Mus musculus: one gene and its partner. The protein of the gene in region 2 binds, or shares a complex with, the protein of the main gene of each other region. Links are inferred from orthologs where the notes say so. Each region holds a gene or a part of one and is shown on either strand. Other genes may lie near its edges. The genes, in order: Vti1a and Stx12.

Region 1 (9,562 bases), on a different chromosome or scaffold from region 2:
GATGATGCAGCTGGCAATTACAGTTGTAACATGTCTTCCAACTTCACGCTAAAGGAGCTCCCAGACTACACTTCTGCTACATTCTATAGGAATACAGGTTTTTCTTGAAAAGATTTTAGTAATGACAAGTTATGAATTATTATCTACTTCTTCAGAGGTAAAAGAAACAGAATCATAACTTCCTTTCTTTTTAAATAAAAGTCCTGAAAAATCTCATATTATTATTGATTCTCACCAGTATTTGATATGATAAGAATCCCAGATACAGGTGGTGGTGGCACACGCCTTTAATTCCAGCACTCAGAAGGCAGAGGGAGACAGATCTTTCAGTTCAAGGCCAGCCTGGTCTACAGAGTGAGTACTAGGACAGCCAGGGCTACACAGAGAAACCCTGTCCTGAAAAACAACAGTAACAGCAAAAAGAATCCAAGTTAAAAAAGAAAAGAAAGGATTTCTAGTAAGATGCATAAAACATACATGCTTGCTAGCACGCACATGGCGTTTACACACAGGAAGAAACACCTGGGCCCCCAGTGATACCCACCTGAGAAAAACCAATTACAATGATGGAATTTTGTGAGGCTCAATGAGAAATCCATTCCTCGGCCCCAGTTATCACATGAATGGCTATTTGTTTTGTGGCTATTTTCATTGTTATCTGAATCCACTTTATTTAAAGTCTGTCTAGAGGCCAGGAAACGAACAGGCTGTCCCGAGGTAGCTTTCCATCTATGTCAAGAGAGAAGAAAAATGACTTTCCAGGAATCAGCTATGGCTTCACTCTGATGTCATGTTTTACTATTATAATTCTGAATGGAACAGTTTTCTCCCTTCTTTTCTTCCTTTGACAAGACGGTGTAGCTACATGAAAGAAAGTTTCTGTTTGACTGGACCAGTTGCTAGTTCACTAAACGAGACATGGCAATCCTTTTCTGCATAACATTTTTAGTTTATGATTAAACACACCATATTCTATTTCCCTAATTTATCTTTTTCTGGCTGTTGGTGCTTCTGGAGTCTCTTGGGAATCTGCAAGGAAGAGTCAGAGGTGGAGGGCTGAAGCACTTTCCCTGAGAATGAGTTAATTTCTATGGTGTACATATTCTCTGTACACTGAAGCACCATAAAAGCAAAGAAAGATGTGTTTGTATTTCCTGGTCCCTGGGCTCACACAGACATTAAATATTTACTGAAGACACGAGTAAGCAGGGGAGAGGGGAGAGGAAAGAGAGGTACACAAGGGAGGAAGGAAGCTAACAGAAGACCGGGAGGCATGGGTGGGGTGGGTCAGAGGCTCCGGGTCCTATAAACGCCGCTTACTATTTGGTCGCTCTCATATATGACTAAGTAGACACAGGTACAGACTTTGGTAAAGATGAACATGGGTCCTCCTGACTTCATGACTGATTGATTAGCCATTGCTAAGCAACCTGGCACCGATTATGGATGATGCCCTGTCATCTCTGTTCATTGTACAATTTTAAAAACAAAAATTGAAGCAACCAGGAACTTTTCTTTATTAGAATTCTCTGGTTTGTATTTGTGTTTGTTTCACAGAATTTACCATATTAAAAATTAATGGGTTTATTCATTCATAGGTAAATGCATGATCAAAGACATTCTCTTCCTTCACACATCTGTGAAGATGAACTGTGAGCCCAGGGTTTAATACCAGCCTCCCCCCTCAGTCACAAGCACCTGTTGCTACTCGATGTGGCTGTGATGTGCAGTGTTAGTGTGGACAAGGAGTGTCCAGGGTGGGTTCTGCAATTCCCTCCCTCGGTGCTGGGCAGCGACTGCGATGTGAACCGGGGGATGGGAGGGAGGACAGACATCAATCAGCAAGGGCCTGAGGTAGAAAGACTGTGGTCCGCAAATGACCACTGGGCCCATATCCTGAGAGACTTACTCCCCCCCCCCCACCATTAAATTATATACTTTTATGCTTCATATCTGTGATTTTGCTACTATTATGAATTATAGCATAAATATCTGATATATAGGATATCTGATATGTTACCCTCAAAGGGGTCATGACTGAGAGGTTGAGAAAGGACACATTCCAAAAGGAGGTGACAAAGTGGAGAGCTGCATTTGCTTACAAAGGGAAGCCCAAGTAGCTGGCAGCCCTCAGGAAGCCACCTTGGGGGTGTGATTCCCCTCCAGAAAGCCCAATGGGTGCAGATTGTTGGTGCTCCTACCCGCTCTAAATGACTTGCAAATTTATTCAAACACCATATGAAAGGATGCTCTATCTGTTGAGACAACTGTCTGCACTGTCCTGTACCAAGGGTGAGGTACATCAAGCAGAAACATGGGCAGAAGCACATGGGTTTAGAAAGCCATAAATCCTTATTTGAATCTGCCAACCTGAAAGCCACGAAGAGCCAGAATAAACTATTTTTCCTAAATGCTACATCTGATTAAGCCATACCATGAAGTGACAGCTGAACTTTAACATTAATATGATATTATTTAAATAACCACATGATTTTTTTTTTACACTAAAAATGATGAATGATTTCTGGACAGCTCAATCGACAGAAAGCAGGAGGACTCTTTAATGAGATTTGACAAAATGGAGACATATGCAGAAGGCTCGTTACAGCTCATATCGCAGGGGCCTCCAAGGGAAGCAGGAGGCACAGCTTTCTTTCTTTTTATTGTCTCTAGGCACTGATGCATTCCTTCAGTTGCTAGTGCTCTTCTCTTTGGACTCTTAGTCTTTCTTAGGTCACTTATGCACTGCTCTTAAAGCAGGGCCCTGCAGGTTTTTGTCTGAGTTGGGATGGTGCTTCCAGCGAAAGGAAAGGGTGGGAAGCAGCTCGGTTGGTATCACGCTGGGAACTGCAGGTTCACCACTGATGGTGTCATGGAGAAATCACATCAGCCCCAACAAGTAACAATTCTACACTTATTTGGGTCTTACACCGTGAACCTTTAGCATTGCAAACAGCTTTAGCATGTTGCTATACATGGATGTACAACAAGCAGAGAGGGCTTCAGCTGTGCCATACAGCTGTCTGAAAAGAAGGGTTGGCTATTCCTCCGCTCCCTCACAACACTCCGCGTCCACCTAGCCACTCAGAGTTCCACGCTCGCATGACCATGGTAAACCATCCTTTTACTCTTCAGAGCATTGGTGTAAAGTAAGAGCGGAACAGACTTAGGCTATGACCTATCTTTATTCATTTACCATTTTAAATTATCCGAATATTTTCCATCAACCAAAGCTTAGTTACACAAGCAGTGCTTAAAATATTTGTTGTGGGCCCAATGGATTGAGCTTACTCTGATACCTGCGGCATTCTTATCAATGTTAAGTATCGACCTGAGTCACCACACTGTTTCCCAAGCAGCCTTCTCAGCAATGAAACAAAGAGCAGAACCGGTACCTAGTGTTCTCCGGGTGATGGCAGGCCCGCACTTCCGCCGTCAGAAGTGAGAGGAAAGTCGGCATGCTCTTGCCATGGGCCTTCCTCAGGCTATAAAAAAATGCTTCTTGTCTAACCCTAATTTTTTCCATAGCTTGAGGTAGGCCCCTCAGCTCAAGCTTGTCTCTAATCTGAGTAACCCATTATATGTCTCTGACAAGAAAGGGTTAACATCAGTGCTCTGTTATTTGGAGAGGGTGTTGACCCAGCCAAGGAGGGAGAGGCGGGATCCCAGCAGCTGGCTCAGCCCCAGGGAAGGAAGAAAACACAGTTAAGAAGAGAGGGAAACAGACGATCGCTCCCTACCTGGCTCTTACCTTCGCAGCATCCCCGTCAGAATCCGAGAGCTCTTCCCCAGGTTTGCATCTGCGTCCCGGAGCTGCGTGAGGGCAGCATGGTGGAAGCAGAGGAAAATGGAGTTAGATGATTCTCAGGCATCTGCTGAAGGGTCACAGCTCCACAGGAGAAAGCCAAGCAGTGACACACACACACACACACACACACACACACACACACACACACACACAGACTCTCAGCTCCAGAGACTAAAGAGCTCTAGGAGGGCTTCCAGGAGCTTGACGGTGGATGCTTGAGCCAGATTTAAAAACGAGTGCCTCACACACAGACAGGGCTCACCATACCTGTGGTGATTAATTTTTAATATGAGTATGCACAGTCTTAAAAGTAGAAATGGAAACTGAATGAAGCCGAGGAAGGTGAGGGCCAGTTTCAGAACAAAATCTCTGTTCTTTGAAAGATTGATACACTCCAAACTCTCCCCCAGTGGCTTCCTTTCTGTAGTCACAGAGTTATTTAAATATTTACTTGGGGGCCTTCGGAGATGAGGAGAGAGCCAGCTGCTTTTCCCTTCATCCCAAGCCCTTGCTTTCTCTTCTTCCACATGGCCACCTACCTACCTGACTGTCCTTACACACACATCCTCATGGCTATGCTGTCACTGTCTTGTGTCCGTCCCAACAGCCTCTTATCCATGCCTTCTCATTTATGAACGTGTAAATGGCGGGATGATGTATACTCACTCGGTCACGTGCCCGCTGTATCTTTTCTCTGTCATGACTCAGGTTTTCCAACATCTCTTGGCCGATTTGCTCTATGGAAAAGAAGAGAAAATGTAAAGAATGGCACCTTGGGGTGCATGGAGAGCACTCAATATACCCCCCAAAGTACTAGGACGATCACAGATATAGAACCAAATAAAGGGGTGTGCCTTACATACCAGATATGTTTTAACTAATGTATTTGAAAAATACAGTATCTGATAAATTTCCCATCTTGTGGATGACTGGGTGCGATTTAAAAAAATCCAACAAGCAGACTGTAGCCCATGTGGCATCAATGACTTAGGGGTAATGCGACTTGTCCAAGGCCACTCCAGGAAATTCCTAGCAAGATGGAGGGCCTAGGTGTAATGATTAAGTACTTCATCACGGAGGAGTACAGCCTTGGATTTTACACTCTGAGAGTAACTCGGAGGGGTCCTGTTCTCCCTTACGGCACTGCTTACCAATGTAAGTCGATATCCATTTAGAAAAACTGTGATTTCAATGCATGGGACTCTTAACTTTTCTCACCTCCAGCATTTTCTCCTGGAGGCAAGAGCCCTTTTATGTTCTATTCGCTGCTGTAGATTCTTGAGTCAAATCAGGTGAGGGACAGTTCAACTTCCAAATTCTTAGACCCAAACACCACTTAGCGTTTGTTAAAGCCATGCTGCTGCCTGCAACGGGGATTTCCCCTGTCACCATGTCTCAGATGCTCGGATGGCCCTTGGCAGGCTCTGCTGTGACTACAGATATTTAACAAACACTACGTAAGACCTGATCTTACGTATAGACAGCTTTTTGAATGATTTCCTTCCCCCAGTCTCATTCGCTGTCACCAGGAGGTGCCTATCTTACGGAGAAAGAACTTGGACTTGCCTTCATCAGGATCGGGTGCCAGAACAATGCTCGGATGCACTGCTGCACACGCACCCGTCACCCCGTCATGCCCGAGAACGCCTTCCTAGCTCATGTTCTGCACGTTACTCTATGGTACATTATGAGCACCACAAATCATTATTTCAGGAAAACACTAATACTTCCTATCAAAGCAGACCATATAAGAATACATGATTTCAAATGGAAGAGGTTTCTGATACTGTGTCTAACACCTCAGTCAGTATTTATGGAAGAAATGAAAGAATGAGATTAAAAAAAGATTAAGTCCCAGCAAGGTTTCCAGTTCCTGCTCAGGCTCTTCCGCACAGCCCTGGAGAAGGTGATGCTGGAAAGCAGGTGTAGGAGCCTCGAGCCCACCAGGTTCTCCAGGGGAAAACTCCACTCTGAACTGATCTATAGTCCTCTACTCAAGCAACGAGTGGACTAGGAGGTCAAGAGTCAGGGATGTTCCTGGAGTCATAAGCCACACCCACAAACTCCTTGCTTCCTGGGTGGGATGTGATTTCTTAGCTGCTAGCTTATATTTTAATACATCAGTAGAGAAAATTCCAGGCAGGTAGATTAGAAATGATAACTCTTATGGACAAAACAGACACAAAGAGAGCAAAACTTGTGTGTCAAACAAAGCAAACCAGAGGAGATTGCTTTTAACACAGTCATTTGCTTCCAGCACAGCTGTCTATCTGTAACCTGTCCCATGAATCTGAAGGCACCCGGCTTGCATGTGGTGCACAGACTTGCATACGGACAGAATAGTTGCACACATAAAATAAAGCTAATAAATATTATTTGAAAGAAAGAATTCAAGTGCACAGACCTGAAACCATGGCAACTGTGACATGCCACGTCTACACTCCTTAGTTCCTTAAATTGTCTTGAGGTCTTTGGTATGAACAGCTGCAATGCACTTACGGTGCAGTTTAAGACATGTACACTTCATAAATAGCATCGTTCTGACCATTAAACATCTTGAGGTTAGGAAACAATGGGAAGCACACAATAAAACCGATTTCGGCATGCTGCAGCTCTGCATGTCAGCACAACGTGATGAATGAATTCCTGGAAGGAAGACTTCCTTCCTGTCCTTCCATCCTCTCCACAGAGGTCCTGGGACTCATCCCGGGAATACAGCTCTCAGACATGTAAAATGAATTGTCTTTACAATTACTCAGAATCAATCATGGAGTCAGGCCACGGCCCTTGCGAGGGGCCTTTGGCAGCACTGCGTCTCCTCTTCATCCCTTTGCAGAGTATACAATAGGCATTCAATGCTTTCCTGTCTCTGGTCGGAACTAAGAAGGAAATAGGTAACCACAAATCCAGCAAGACGCTTCCTGCAGGACCAGCCTGGCATCTCCTTGTAGATAAGATCTGGACGGAGCAGTGCCTATCTCAGAGAGCATCATGTCTCTTCCTTCATGAAGTGATAAAAACATTTGACAGGCTGTGTTCATCCATCATGAGGCAAACACAAGTGAGCCCATGGAAGAAACTAGATCTGAACTTCAGAAAGGGATGAATCAGAATATTCTCCAGGAACAGTTAGGCGTGACTCAAGTTAACATCACGCTACAAATGTAGCTGAAGAAAACGGTGCCTCGGATCTAATTCAGCACAGTATGTTCCATCTGATAAGTTCAATATATATATATATTTTTCAATTTGAGCCATTATGCTATGAGCCGTACATTCTCCAGAAGGTACTGATTATTCCCAAGCACAACTGTACTTAACTTTATTTTTACAACCTTCGTTAAGGATGTGGTTTCCAGAAAATTATTTTTAAAAGTGAAGGAAGCCAGTTAAAGTCTTCTTTCAATTGCCCAGAGGAGACAAGGTTATTTCCTGACACTTGAAAACTCCACTAGCAATCCAGGAGCAGTGAGAGGCATCCACAATGCCCCAGCTGTTACTTACATCTGTGGGCACGTATGTACAGAAACGCGCAGCAGAGCTGTCTCCAGCTATGGTGAAACGCGTGCTTCACGGACTGGAGAGAGAGACTGCACAGTCGGTGACTGCATGGTATTTATACCAACAATCTCAATTCGGGACAGGTGACTGGGAAACTTCTGGCTACTGAGTCTAACATGGGGGAGACAGCATGCTGTTTTGGAAAGCTGCAGTTAGAGGGGTGAACACAGCCTTCCAGATCTGTCTCTCTGTCATTTGGAATGTGTCCTTGGACAATGGGTCTGGTCCTGTGCCCCAGACTTAAGGGTTACACTCAGTACTGAAGACTCTTTAGAGTTCCTGACTCAGGGAAGGTGGTTTACATAAAGACAGGGTTTGTTTGTTTGTTTGTTTGTTTTGGTTTTCTTTTTCTTTTTTTCTTTTTAACCATCTCTCGTCATTTGAGACTTAAGACATGAGGGGCTTTGGCTTCTACTGAGATGGAGGAAGTGCTCGAATTCAGGACAACCTCCAGGGAAAGAAGAAAAACCAGACACAAGAATTGCTAACCTTCTGGAAGGAAGACAAGTACAGGAGATGCAGTAAAGCTTTGATGAGTTCTAGAGATCTAAGCCTTTCTTTCGTACAGGAGAGTGTGAGTAACTCCTCGCTAGGGTAAATTGCTTACTCTGAGTACTGCTGCTATGGACAGGAGGGAAACCAGGCAGATTGCATGACCACACAGACTTTCAGAGCACAGCACATGGCATAGCTGAGCACTACACAGCAGTTTAAGCTGCTTGATCTGATAATTCTCCCTCAATACTTATATGCACCAAGAAAGAAACAATGAAGGAGGCCAGACTGAAAGAGAATTCCCACATTTCCTTATATTGCTTGTATTCAACACACTATTAGAGACAAGCCTGTCTTGGTGTGGCCACAACACACCTGAAACTACAGCTTAACCCATGCTCAGCCCCTCAGAGCTGTGATTACAGGTGCACACCACCATGCCTGGAGAGCCATCTTGTCTCTTAAAGCTGCATCGGCAGCACAGGTCAGGAATCTCGCAGCCACAGATAAAGCCTGCAGCTCAGCAGCCCCTCAGCTTGGTTTCTGGAAGACTCTAACTGAGCCATGGTCCAGGCACAGCACAGCATGATGCTGAAGAGGCAAGCACACTCAGCAATTTCCACACCAGAACCCATACAGCTTCATGTACAAGACATGCAAAAGGCAGGAAAGAGAGAAGAGTTCAGAGAAAATGTCACGGATACAAGCGCTCCAACAGACCTTAGTCAGCTGACAGGGTTACCAGACAGAGTTTTGGAGGTGAATGGAGAAGAAATGGGTCTTTAGGAGGTAAGAGGAAACTCTAAGGGGCACAATGGAATTCCAGCACGTGAAGAAACAGCGACTGAGCTTATTCGAGTAGAGTGCAAACGTGAGATGCTTGAGTAGGAAGGAAGGACCTTAACTGTAGGTTACCAGAGTGATCCAAACTGGGTGAGTGAAGGTAACAAAAACACACAGCACAGCATCCATACTGTCAGATGTTAGCAGAGGCCTCTATGGACATCGTTAGATGGCTCTTCCAAAACAGAGAGTAGAGAAAATGAAAGAAATAATAGCCCAAACTTCTCAACTTGTATTTTTAAAAATCAACTATAGATCAAAGAAGTTGAACTAATTAGAGGAAGGTAAATTTATAGAAACTATAACCAGTTGTTATAGAAACAGTTTAGTTTCTCAAAACTAAAGGGAAATGAAGATATCTAGAGGGAACGCAAACGCACGCGAGTACGAACACGCGCACGGGCGGGCACGAACTCCCTGGAGGCCACTCAGAAGGATGAAGGTTAAAGTTTTGTCATAAAAAAAATGAAGAAAATAGAATAATATTCCAAAGTGCTGAAACAGGAAAAAACCCAAAACACCCTAGTAAAAATGTCCTTCAAATGTAAAGTGAGGCATTTGCGTGCATGTGCACATGTGCACGTGTGCACAGAACAAGAGGTTGACTTCAGTGTCTTCCTCAGTTCGCCATCCTACTTTTGACACGGGGGGGGGGGGGGCGGTGGGAGGGGTGGGGTGAGGGTGGGGCTGAGCCTGGGGCTTGCAAGGTGGCCAGACCCTCCTGTCTTCACCTCCCTAGCAATAAGACTCCAGGTGCCTGCCACAATGCCTAGTCCCACGTGGAGGCTGGGCATCTGACCTCAGGTCCTTACGCCTCTACAGTAAGCACTTGACTAAGTCCTAAACATTATTTTC
Region 2 (10,118 bases):
ACATGTCTGCTAACAACCACCTACTAACAACAGTCCATCTTCTGACCTATGAGGGTACCAGGCATGCATGCAGAACACATACATACACACAGGCAAACACTCATAAACAAACATATTTAATATAAAAAGCATTACTTGCACTAAAACATAAAACAAGGCCATGTGTGATAGCATGTGGTTTAATCCCAGCACTCAAGAGGCAGAGGCAGCCAAAACTCTATAGTTTTCAGCCAACCAAGAACACATAGTGAAAACCTCTCTCAAAAAAACCAAACCAACAAATAAATAAATAAATAAATAAATAAAAAGATAAGATAAAGGAAATCCACAGACCTAAAAAAACTATCTAGACCAAACAAGGTCTTTGCACTGATTTTGAAAATGAAGTCAATTCAATGTTCTATACACAAAATTAGGCTTAAACAATGATATTACATAGAAATTGTAAAAACTACCTACTATAGGCATCACAGATACACATATTTATTGAGACTGAGCTACATCCCCAGCCCCCATTATAAAGATAGAGTCTCTATAAATTGAACAAGTTATTTCCATTTCCTGATGGGCTAGACTCAAACTCCTGATCCTCTTGCCTCAGTCTCTTGAAGGCTGGGATTTAACTTTTGAAAATGGGTTTGTCAGGAGTGATATAGTACATATCTTCAGCACTTGAGAGTCAGAGACAAGAAGGTCAGGAGTTAAAGGTTACATGAGACCTTTTATTACACACACACACACACACACACACACACACCCCAAAAATTCAGTCACTAAACAGGATAGTAAATCTGTATACTAACAACCAAAGGCGTAATCTCCCACTTTGCACAAGAGTGACAGCACATGTGGCTGTTAAGAACACGGGTTCTGAATTGAGACTGTGTTCTTGTTTTTAAGACAGGTTCTCTCTCCATATGTAGCCCTGCATAGCCTGGAACTCTCTATGTAGGCTAGAGTATCCCAGAACTTGCCGTTTTGCCCAGGCTGCCCTTGAACTCCATGTGATTCCCCTGACTCTGCCTCTCAAGGGACAGAATCACGGGTGTGGAGCACATGATCAGCAGGCCTGCCTATGCCTGACTGTTGCTTCCAGCACTTCCCAGCGGAGTGATCTAAAGTAAATGATGACCGTCTTCTGTCCTGGTTCCACACCTAAGGAATGACAGTAACAAGGGAAGCTTCGGTTGGTTGATGTGAGAATGAAATGAGATGATTTGGGCTAAGTTTAGAAAGCCGTCTGCCACATAAAAGCACTCAACTAAGGACAGCTATTATTATCAAACTCAAGACCAAGAAGAATGTACTTAGCAATGATAAAATCAATTAAGTACATACTGAATGCCAAAGCATCCACTGCTGTGCCAGGCACTGTCTAAAGAGAAATGTATAATGCATGGTCCTTCATCCCACCAAACCAGTACTGCTCTAGGGACAAGGTCAAAAAGCTTGTCTTAATTAAGGGATATAGAATATAAGTAGATATTAAACTGTGAGAAAAAAACTGGTTATGTTTAAGAAAAAAGAACCAAATGACAGATAACATGTTTTATGTATTCACTCAATAGGTAGTAGGCACTGTCTTTTTAAGACAGGGTCTCCCATAGCCAAGCTGGTCTCAAACTTGCTATGTAGCTGAGGCTGGCCTTGAATTCCAACCTCCTGCCTGCACTTTCCAAAGGTGAGGATTACAGGAACCCATCTTGAAGCGCACACTCTTTTAACACTTCACATAAGTTATCTCAGTTAGTTCTCAGAACCCTATGAAATAATTATGACCATAGACCAGGAAACAGCAGGAGGCGTAAAGCAAAATTCACCAAAACATCACAAAACTAGCAGGAAGCTGAGGGAAAACCCAAACTTAGTTTACAAACAGTTAAAAACTCAAAGGTTTCTTAGTTTTTCAGTAAATAATGCAGAGCCTGGTGTAGTGCCACACCCCTTTAGTCCCACCACTCTGGAGGCCAAGGCAGGTGAATCTCTGTGAGTTCCAGACCAGCCTGGTCTCATAGTCAGGTTCAAGTCAGCCAGAACTACACAGCGAGATCCTGTCTCAAAAACAAAAAAGCACTTAAGAGGCAGAGTCTGAAGCTAGCCTGGTCTACAGAGCAAGTTCCAGGACAGCCAGGGCTACAGAGACACCCTATCTCAAAATAAAATAAAATAAAATAAAATAAACCAAGCCAAACAAATAAAATGACAGAGACCTCATTCACTCAAATTAACTGGCTACAATTAGTAAGCTTCCATGTGCCCTGACCCCTGGCTACCTCTCTGATGTCTTTCCCCATTTGCTCCCTACCTTTAACGCAGCCACACCTTCCTCCTTGCTATTCTTTGTCACATGAAAGTCCTTGCATTTGCCCTCAGCACACACTGCCTTTCTCCACTACTCACCATGCTCCCTCCATTCTGAAATCTGCTCATTCCAACATCATCCTACCCAGGCAGTGGTGGTGCAGGCTTGAATCCCAGCATTCAGGAGGCAGAGGCAGGTGGATCTTTGAGTTCGAGGACAGCCTGGTCTATAGAGCAAGTTCCAGGACAGCCAGGACTACAGAGAACCCTGTCTTGGAAAAAATAAATCATCTCCCCAGAGAGGCCTTCCTCACCTGAGGATAATAATTCGTCCCTTCTCGCTTCCCTCCATGGACTTAGCCTGTTCCCTTTCCTTCGTACCACCTGCTATTACTTGATATTATTGGGAAATACATGCAAAGATCCACACAATGCCAGGCAGCAGTGTGTTCTCTGCTCATCACCAGTGAACATCAGTGCTCAAAGAATGCTTGTCGCACGCTGAACGGAAGAACTCATCATATGCTTGGGACTAAGATAAATGACAGAAAAATAAGGATGAATGAATCGTATTTCCTACCTCAAGCAAGCTAACAATCTAACAGGGAAGATGTTCATCTTATCGCGAGAAAAAAACCCACACACTCAGCTAGGCAACCCTTTAGCCTTTCTCAGTCTGTTTCCTAGCTCATAGACTGGGAATGTTTGTAATTACTCCACAGGATTGTTACAGATTAGAATATTACATGTAAAGTACTTTTCATACGGCCTGGCACACGATGTACTTAAACAGTAGCTAGTAACATTATTAACTATTGACTCTAAGGAACCCCTTGACCCCAATGCCTAATCAACGGCTAAATCAGTAGCTATCACCAAAGAAACTGCTCCTAGACCACACCGACACCTTTTTTGTTGTTGTTTTGCTTTAAGACTCACAGCTCAGGCTGGCTTTGAACCTGGAGACTGTCTTGCCTTGGCCTCCTGAGAGCTAGGGTTACAGACCTGACTCATCACACCCAGGCTCTGGTTTTAAACTCCTTCTCTGTTCCTCCTTCCCTTTCTCCCTTTTTCCCTTTGAAAACAGACTCACAATGTGGCCCTGGATCACCTTGAACACACTAGGCAGTCTAGATTTGCTTCTAAATCATGATAATCCTCCTGCCTCAGCCTCTCAAATGCTATCGTGTACGACTATGGCCAGTTTCAACTCTAATTTTGATTTAAGTAAACACAGATTTGCAGTTAAAAGAATCTGTATCAGTTCCTATGCTTACTATACAACTTAATACTCAAATATGAAATATTCCACATACAGTCATTTAAATTAGGTTAGTCTCAATGAGAAAAAAAAAAAAAACCCACAAATTCTCTTTCTTTCTTTCCTCTCTTTCTTTTCTTCTTTCTGGTGGTTCAAAACAAGGTTTCTCTGTGTAGCCCCTGGCTGTCCTGAAACTCTGTAAACTGGCTAGCCTCTCAAACTCTGAGATCTACCTGCCTCTGCCTCTCAAGTACTGGAATTGAAGGCATGACCCCGCCCCCAACACCTGGCACAAAATTTTCTTTATTATTTTTGTGTGTATGATATGTGGAACATACATAGAACTAATGTAAACAGACACATTGTGTGTGCCAGGGAACGAGTGTGGCTGAGTGTGGAGGTCAGAGTACAGCTCTGTGGAGTTAATTTGCTCCTTCCACGTTCATCTGGGTTCTGGGGCTCAAATCAGATGGTCAGGCCTGCACAGCAAGCACTTTACCTGAACCATCTTGCCAGCCCCTTGAAAAGAATTTTCTGATTTATCCTGTATTATAGCTCCTTAACAAAAGGAAACTGGGACACAAAGTACCATACTGTCTAGTCATCAATTATTATTGTGTTTTTCATATCTGGGTTAACAAGCTGAGTATTCGTACTACCTCCATACACCCAGGCCTAACCCTTCCTGCCTGAAACTTTCTACCTCTCAAATCCTACAGTATACATTTAGATATAAAAGCAAAGTGACAAGCTGGGTGTGGTGGCGTACATTGTTAATCCCAGCACTTGGGAGGCAGAGGCAGGTGGATCTCTAATTTTGAAGCCAGCCTGGTACACAGAGTGAGTTCCAGGATAGTCAGAGCTACAAAAAAACTGTCTCAAAAAGAAAATAAAAGCACAGTGGTAGCTTATGCTTTAAAGCTTAGGACATAACTGCAATTCAGAACTGACTCTACTTATTAACAGTATAGCTAAGCTCACAAAAAAAAAAAAAAAAAAAAAAAACAGAATAATAAACAACACAGATGGTTGTCACCATTTTTAAAGTAAAATTGCTTCTGTTGTTCTGTTTACAGGGCTCTGGGATGATTCTGAAACTCAAAAACAGCCTGTACTTGACTCTAGCTACAGAAGGGAGTTTTAAGGTAAGCAGTTACAAACTGACTTGGCCCAACCCTGCCATCTCTTACTTGGTGTGTAATTGTGGCCAAGAGTAGCTCTCAACGGAGGCAGAAGAGGACATCTTCATGCTTGAAATGGGAAAAACGTTCGCTACAAAGACAACCTAACCTAAAATGTTCCCGGTGCATTCTGTGCCATAAAGCAGCAGTCCTCCCGTCCCTTAAATGCCAGGCACTGACTGACGTCCAGGTTAATTACAGGAAACACAGTGTATTAAGTCACTCGAACGCACGCATTCTCCACTTCCCTTAATTGAAAGTTGCTGATGTCTGAGGACCCAACCGCTGAGCTGAATGTGAACCTAAAGTCGCAACCAAGTAAGCACCCCCTGATCGGAACTGAGGAAAACAAGGTGGGTGGGGAGAGGGGGACGGCGACGACAGGAAAAACTCGGCTGACCACTGCGCCAAGTCAAGACTGCTGCTCACAGTCCTGGAGATGACACACACTCCCTCCCACCATCGGGGCTGTCGGCTCTGTTGACCCCCAACACCGTGAACTCTAACCGCCTAAGACAGGGGTGTGGACCTAAAGGGCCCGAGCCTGGCCGACCCAGGGAAAGGCAGCTCGCCGCGCCCAGAGTGGAGGCTCGCGACGGCCTCAAGGTGTGGCCTGAGCTGCGACCCAGACCGGGCTCCCCGACTTGGCAGCTTCACCACCGTCTGTCCCTCAGGCCGCCCCCAGCTCCCGGCTGGGTCCCCTCGCTCACTGGCTTGGCTGATCCGCTGGATGTTGCCACTGCATGTCTGGATGATGCTGTTGAAGTCCCGGGGCTGAGGCCCCGACGGCCCGGGGTTCCGATACATGTCTAAGGGACCGTAGGACATGACAGTGAGCAGAGACCGGGTCGCGCTTCGCGGCGCTCCTACCGGAAGCTGCCACTGACCGGGCCCAGCAGCTGAGAGGAAAACCGGGAAGAGAAAGGGCGGGGAAGGGACCGCGACTGCGTGCGCACTGACCCCCCGCCCATCGCGGTGCGCATGCGCGCGCTCCGCCCCATCCTGCAGTGCGCGTGTGCGGCTGGAATTGGCGGTGGGTCGTCTCTTGAGAGTTTTCGAACTGCTGGCGGTGAGCGTTCTCGCAAGACCCGACTCCTCCAGCTGTGAAGCCAGTACAGGACCGGACTTCTTCAGCCTGTCGTCTACAGACGGCGCGCCCCGCATTCCACGACCTTCCGGCCGCCAACACGCTCATCCGCATCCTGCTGCTCCCGCATCCTGCCGCTCCCGCATCCTGCTGCTCCGCGCGGCACTGTTGTTCAGGCACCCAGCAAGTTCTTGCTTTTCCAACCCATGTCAAAATCGAGGTGAATGCATGAGCATGGAATGGGACCAGTACACGTGCAGTTGTACCCGACAGGATTCGATGGTGAAAACTGTTCAACACCTAAATTTCTAGCAAGAATAAAGTTACTACTGAAACCATCCGCCAATACGGTGTGCCCCGTGCTTACCCACTTCAAGGGATTCTGGGACATTGTTGATTAACATTTCCTTCCTTTGAGGTCAGGCTGGTATACAGGGTGAGTTCCAGGACAGCCAAGGTTACATAGAGAAACCCTGTCTCGGAAAACCCACTCACACTCCAAACAAATAAAAACCATTCCCTTCCTGCGGAATTCAGTCATGAGATATGTTGCCAGCCAGATGGCATTTGATTGACAGCCCACCAACTTACAATGTGCACCACACCTACGAAAACTGGGCACCCTTCTCCAACCTCTCCTACTACATCAGAGCCTCTCCTCCTGTAACAGATGACTGCCTGACTCCCATCCTGTGAAAGGGAAGAAGAGGGTTTCTGATTCAAAAGATTATGGGGAAAATTCTAAGAAAAAAATTCATCCTTGACCCCCAGGGCTCGAATATGATATTCACATTCTTCGGCCAGCAATTCACCCACCAGTATCTCAAGACAGACCAGAAACAAGGACATATATTCACTAGAGGGCTGGGCCATGGAGTGGACATATAAGCCATGTTTATGGTAAAACTCCAGATAGACAGCATAAACTGCTCCTTTGCTTTCTCTTTTAATTATTTATTTTTATGCTCATTGGTCTTTTGCCTGTACCTGTGAGGGTGACAGAGCCCCTGGACCTGGAGTTACAGAGAGCTGTGAGCTGCCATGTGAATGCTGGGAATTGAACCTGTGTCCTCTGGAAGAGCAGCCAGTGTTCTTAACTGCAGAGTCATTTCTCCAGCCCCAAACTATGCCTTTTCAAGGATGAAAAACTCAAGTACCAGGTAATTGATGAAGAGGTATATTCTCCCATCAGAGAGATCAGGGACACTCAGGTGGAAGCAGACTGCCACTGCAAACCCCCAAATACCTGCTTTAGGGCAGATCTTGGGTTTGGCCACTGGTCATATGGTATAAGCTACACCATGAACCAGCACCACAAACCATTCTCACCGAAGCCTTACCAATCATTTGAAGAACTCAGGAGAAAGAGGCTGCTGAGTTGGAAGTTCTCTGTGGTAAAATTGATGCTGTTGGTGCTGGTTAAGAGCACTGACTGCTCTTCGATACGTTCTGAGTTCAATTCCCAGCAACCACATGGTGGCTCACAACCATCTATAATGAGAGCTGATGCTCTCTTCTGGTGTGTCTGAAGATAGCTACAGTGTACTCATATATACATTAAATAAATAAAATTTAAAAATTAAAAAAAAAAATCGATGCTGTCCTCCCCTGCTGATAGAAAAGCCTCTTCCAGGTGCTGTCTTTGGGGAAACCCTAGGGGAAATTGGGGCACCATTCTCCTTGGAAGGGCCTACATCAAACCCTATCTGTTCTCACTACTGGAATACTGGAAGCCAAGCTCTTTGGGGGAAGTGGGTGTTAAGATCATCAACACTGCCTCAATTTAGTGTCTTGTTTTATTTGGGGGGGTGTTCTAGACAGGGTTTCTCTGTATAGCCCTGGCTGTCCTGGAACTCACTTTGTAGACCAGGCTGGCCTCGAACTCAGAAATCCGCCTGCCTCTGCCTCCCAAGTGCTGGGATTAAAGGCATGCGCCACCACTGCCCGGCTTCAACTTAGAGTTTTAACGTTAGTAACATGAAGGGCTGTCCCTTCATTCAGTGCTCAGGGCTTCTCCAAACAAGCACATTACAAGTGCTTTAATTCCAGACAAATAGTGACTTAGATATCAGATCTCTCCAGGTTTGTGACATGCTAGACAGGACAATGAAATGAAATATTTGGGGATCCCATTGGATAAGTTTTCCTAGCCATGTATCTCCCCAAAGTCCATGACATCGTGCAAGAAATTTTGATTTGCATAAAAATGTACCAGACCACCCCAACCCTTGCTTCCTATTCTGCTCTATTTTCAGAACCCAGGCTCAAATATAGGAAAATTAAGTAGCCTTGACATTCAGGTCTGTAGCCAATCAGTGATTTTAAGGGTTTCAAAGTACTTTTATTTCTCCCTCCACTCCTAACTAAGCAATAAAGTAATATCGTATTTGGGGGGCACATACTGTGTGTGAATCCTTAGGTCACTGATTCATAAACACTTCACAGTAAGGAAGCATCCCCATTTTTATCTTTAAACATTTTTGGTCTGGTTTACTTTTTTATTTGTTTTTCCAAACAGGGTTTCTCTGTGTAACCCTGGCTGTCCTGGAACTTACTCTGTAGACCAAGCTGGCCTCGAACTCAAAGATCTACCTACCTCTTTGCTCTGCCTCCCAAGTGCCAGGATTAAAAGTAATGGCATTTTGGCTGGACAGTGGTGGCGCACAACTTTAATCCCAGCACTTGAAAGACAGAGACAGGCAGAGCTCTGTGATTCAAGACTACATAGCAAGTTCTGGGCCAGCCAGGAATACACAGTGAGACCCTGTCTCAAACCAAAACAAAGAGCCAGGAATAGTAGTACAAGTCTTTAATCCCAGCACTCAGGAGACAGAGGCAGGCAGATCTCAGAGTTTGAGGCCAGTCTGGTCTTCAGAGTGAGTTCCAGAACAGCCAGGGCCACACAAAGAAACTATGACTTGAAAACCCCAAAACCAGGCTGGAGAGAAATGGCTCAGGGGTTAAGAGCACTGACTGCTTTTCCAGAGGTCCTGAGTTCAATTCCCAGCAACCACATGGTGGCTCTTTCATGGGATCCAATGCCCTCTGCTGGTGTGCCTGAAACAGCTACAGTGTACTCATATACATTAAATAAGTAAATAAATAAAGTGTTGGGCTGGAGAGATAGCTCAGTGGTTAAGAGCACGGACTGCTCTTCCAAAGGTCCTGAGTTCAAATTCCAGCAACCACATGGTGGCTCACAACTATCTGTAATGAGATCTGATGCCCTCTTCTGGTGTGTCTGAAGTCAGCTACAGTGTACTTACATATAATAAATAAATAAATCTTTAAAAATAAATAAAGTATTGGTTCAAAACCAACTCTAAGATCTGATGCCCTCTTCTGGCCTCTTCAGGCATCAGGCAGGCACACACATGGTGCACATGTAGGCAAAAACATTCATATACATAAAATGAATAAATTTTTAAAAAGCTGGACATCATTGCACAGGCCTGCAAACAGACATTAGGGAACAGATAGAGTGGGTCCCCAGAGTTCATTACTCAGTCAGCTTAGCCAAAGATCAGTGAGAGAGCCTGTCTCAAGGCATTAATGCAAAGAGCAAGAGAAGAAGAAATTCTATATCTTCTGAGTGTGCACACGCAGGCTCACGCACCTGCGAATATATGTGCATGCACCATTCACACACACAACAACACATACACAAAGAAACTAATGCCTCCTTATGATTCATCACTTTATGTCAAACCCTAGGTTCCATTGCACAGCTTTAACAGATTCGACTCCTCACATGAGGCCCTGAAATGTATCAGTTTGAATGTAGTCATAAACTCTGAGTCACTAATAATACCCTGATGTCACATTAAGGACAGAAATCAAACACTTCCCCTGTGTGTCCTTTAACTGAGAGTGAGCATCTTTTGGCTGAAGCCTCTCCTGCACTCTCCCTGTGCCTTCCATTGTCTGTCTCAAAGGGCTGCTGCCCCGTATCTCCCAAACAGCCCAGAAAGCATGGGAGAAGGAATGAAAGACACGGGATACTTTGTTCAAATGCCACTGCCATCATTTATAGTAGATTCTCACTTTTATGGTAGATTCTCATTTACTTTTTTTTTGTTTTTTGTTTTTGTTTTTGTTTTTTTGGTTTTTCGAGACAGGGTTTCTCTGTATAGCCCTGGCTGTCCTGGAACTCACTCAGTAGACCAGGCTGGCCTTGAATTTAGAAATCCGCCTGCCTCTGCCTCCCAAGTGCTGGGATTAAAGGCGTGTGCCACCACCGCCCAGCTTATTTATTTATTTTATGTATATGAATACACCATAGCTCTCT

The links.
Region 1: the proteins of Stx12 (region 2) and Vti1a are in contact, whole or in part, in a crystal structure (PDB 2NPS), measured with the Rattus norvegicus proteins. The link is inferred for Mus musculus from reciprocal best matches to the Homo sapiens genes STX12 and VTI1A. Residues at the interface, in NP_075228.2 of Rattus norvegicus: Glu185, Ile188, Gln189, Leu191, Glu192, Ile195, Leu196, Val198, Asn199, Phe202, Lys203, Leu205, Ala206, Ile209, His210, Gly213, Ile216, Asp217, Glu220, Val223, Glu224, Ser226, Glu227, Val230, Glu231, Ala233, Ser234, Asp235, Leu237, Gln238; in XP_038945999.1 of Rattus norvegicus: Arg131, Arg134, Ser135, Arg138, Leu139, Ala141, Gly142, Ile145, Ala146, Glu148, Thr149, Ile152, Gly153, Met156, Asn159, Leu160, Asp163, Arg166, Arg169, Ala170, Arg173, Leu174, Glu176, Thr177, Asn180, Leu181, Lys183, Ser184, Ile187, Leu188.

What each region holds. Positions count from the first base shown.
Region 1 is NC_000085.6:55,493,494-55,503,055, reverse strand, and holds part of Vti1a (vesicle transport through interaction with t-SNAREs homolog 1A), read right to left. Parts: intron 4,546-9,562; coding exon 4,475-4,545; intron 3,814-4,474; coding exon 3,752-3,813; coding exon of another isoform or gene 3,748-3,751; exon of another isoform or gene 3,741-3,747; intron 730-3,740; coding exon of another isoform or gene 432-729; exon of another isoform or gene 386-431; intron 1-385. UniProt on the Homo sapiens protein: V-SNARE that mediates vesicle transport pathways through interactions with t-SNAREs on the target membrane. These interactions are proposed to mediate aspects of the specificity of vesicle trafficking and to promote fusion of the lipid bilayers.
Region 2 is NC_000070.6:132,878,795-132,888,912, forward strand, and holds the start of Stx12 (syntaxin-12), read right to left. Parts: upstream 5,665-10,118; 5' UTR 5,572-5,664; coding exon 5,454-5,571; intron 1-5,453. UniProt on the Homo sapiens protein: SNARE promoting fusion of transport vesicles with target membranes. Together with SNARE STX6, promotes movement of vesicles from endosomes to the cell membrane, and may therefore function in the endocytic recycling pathway.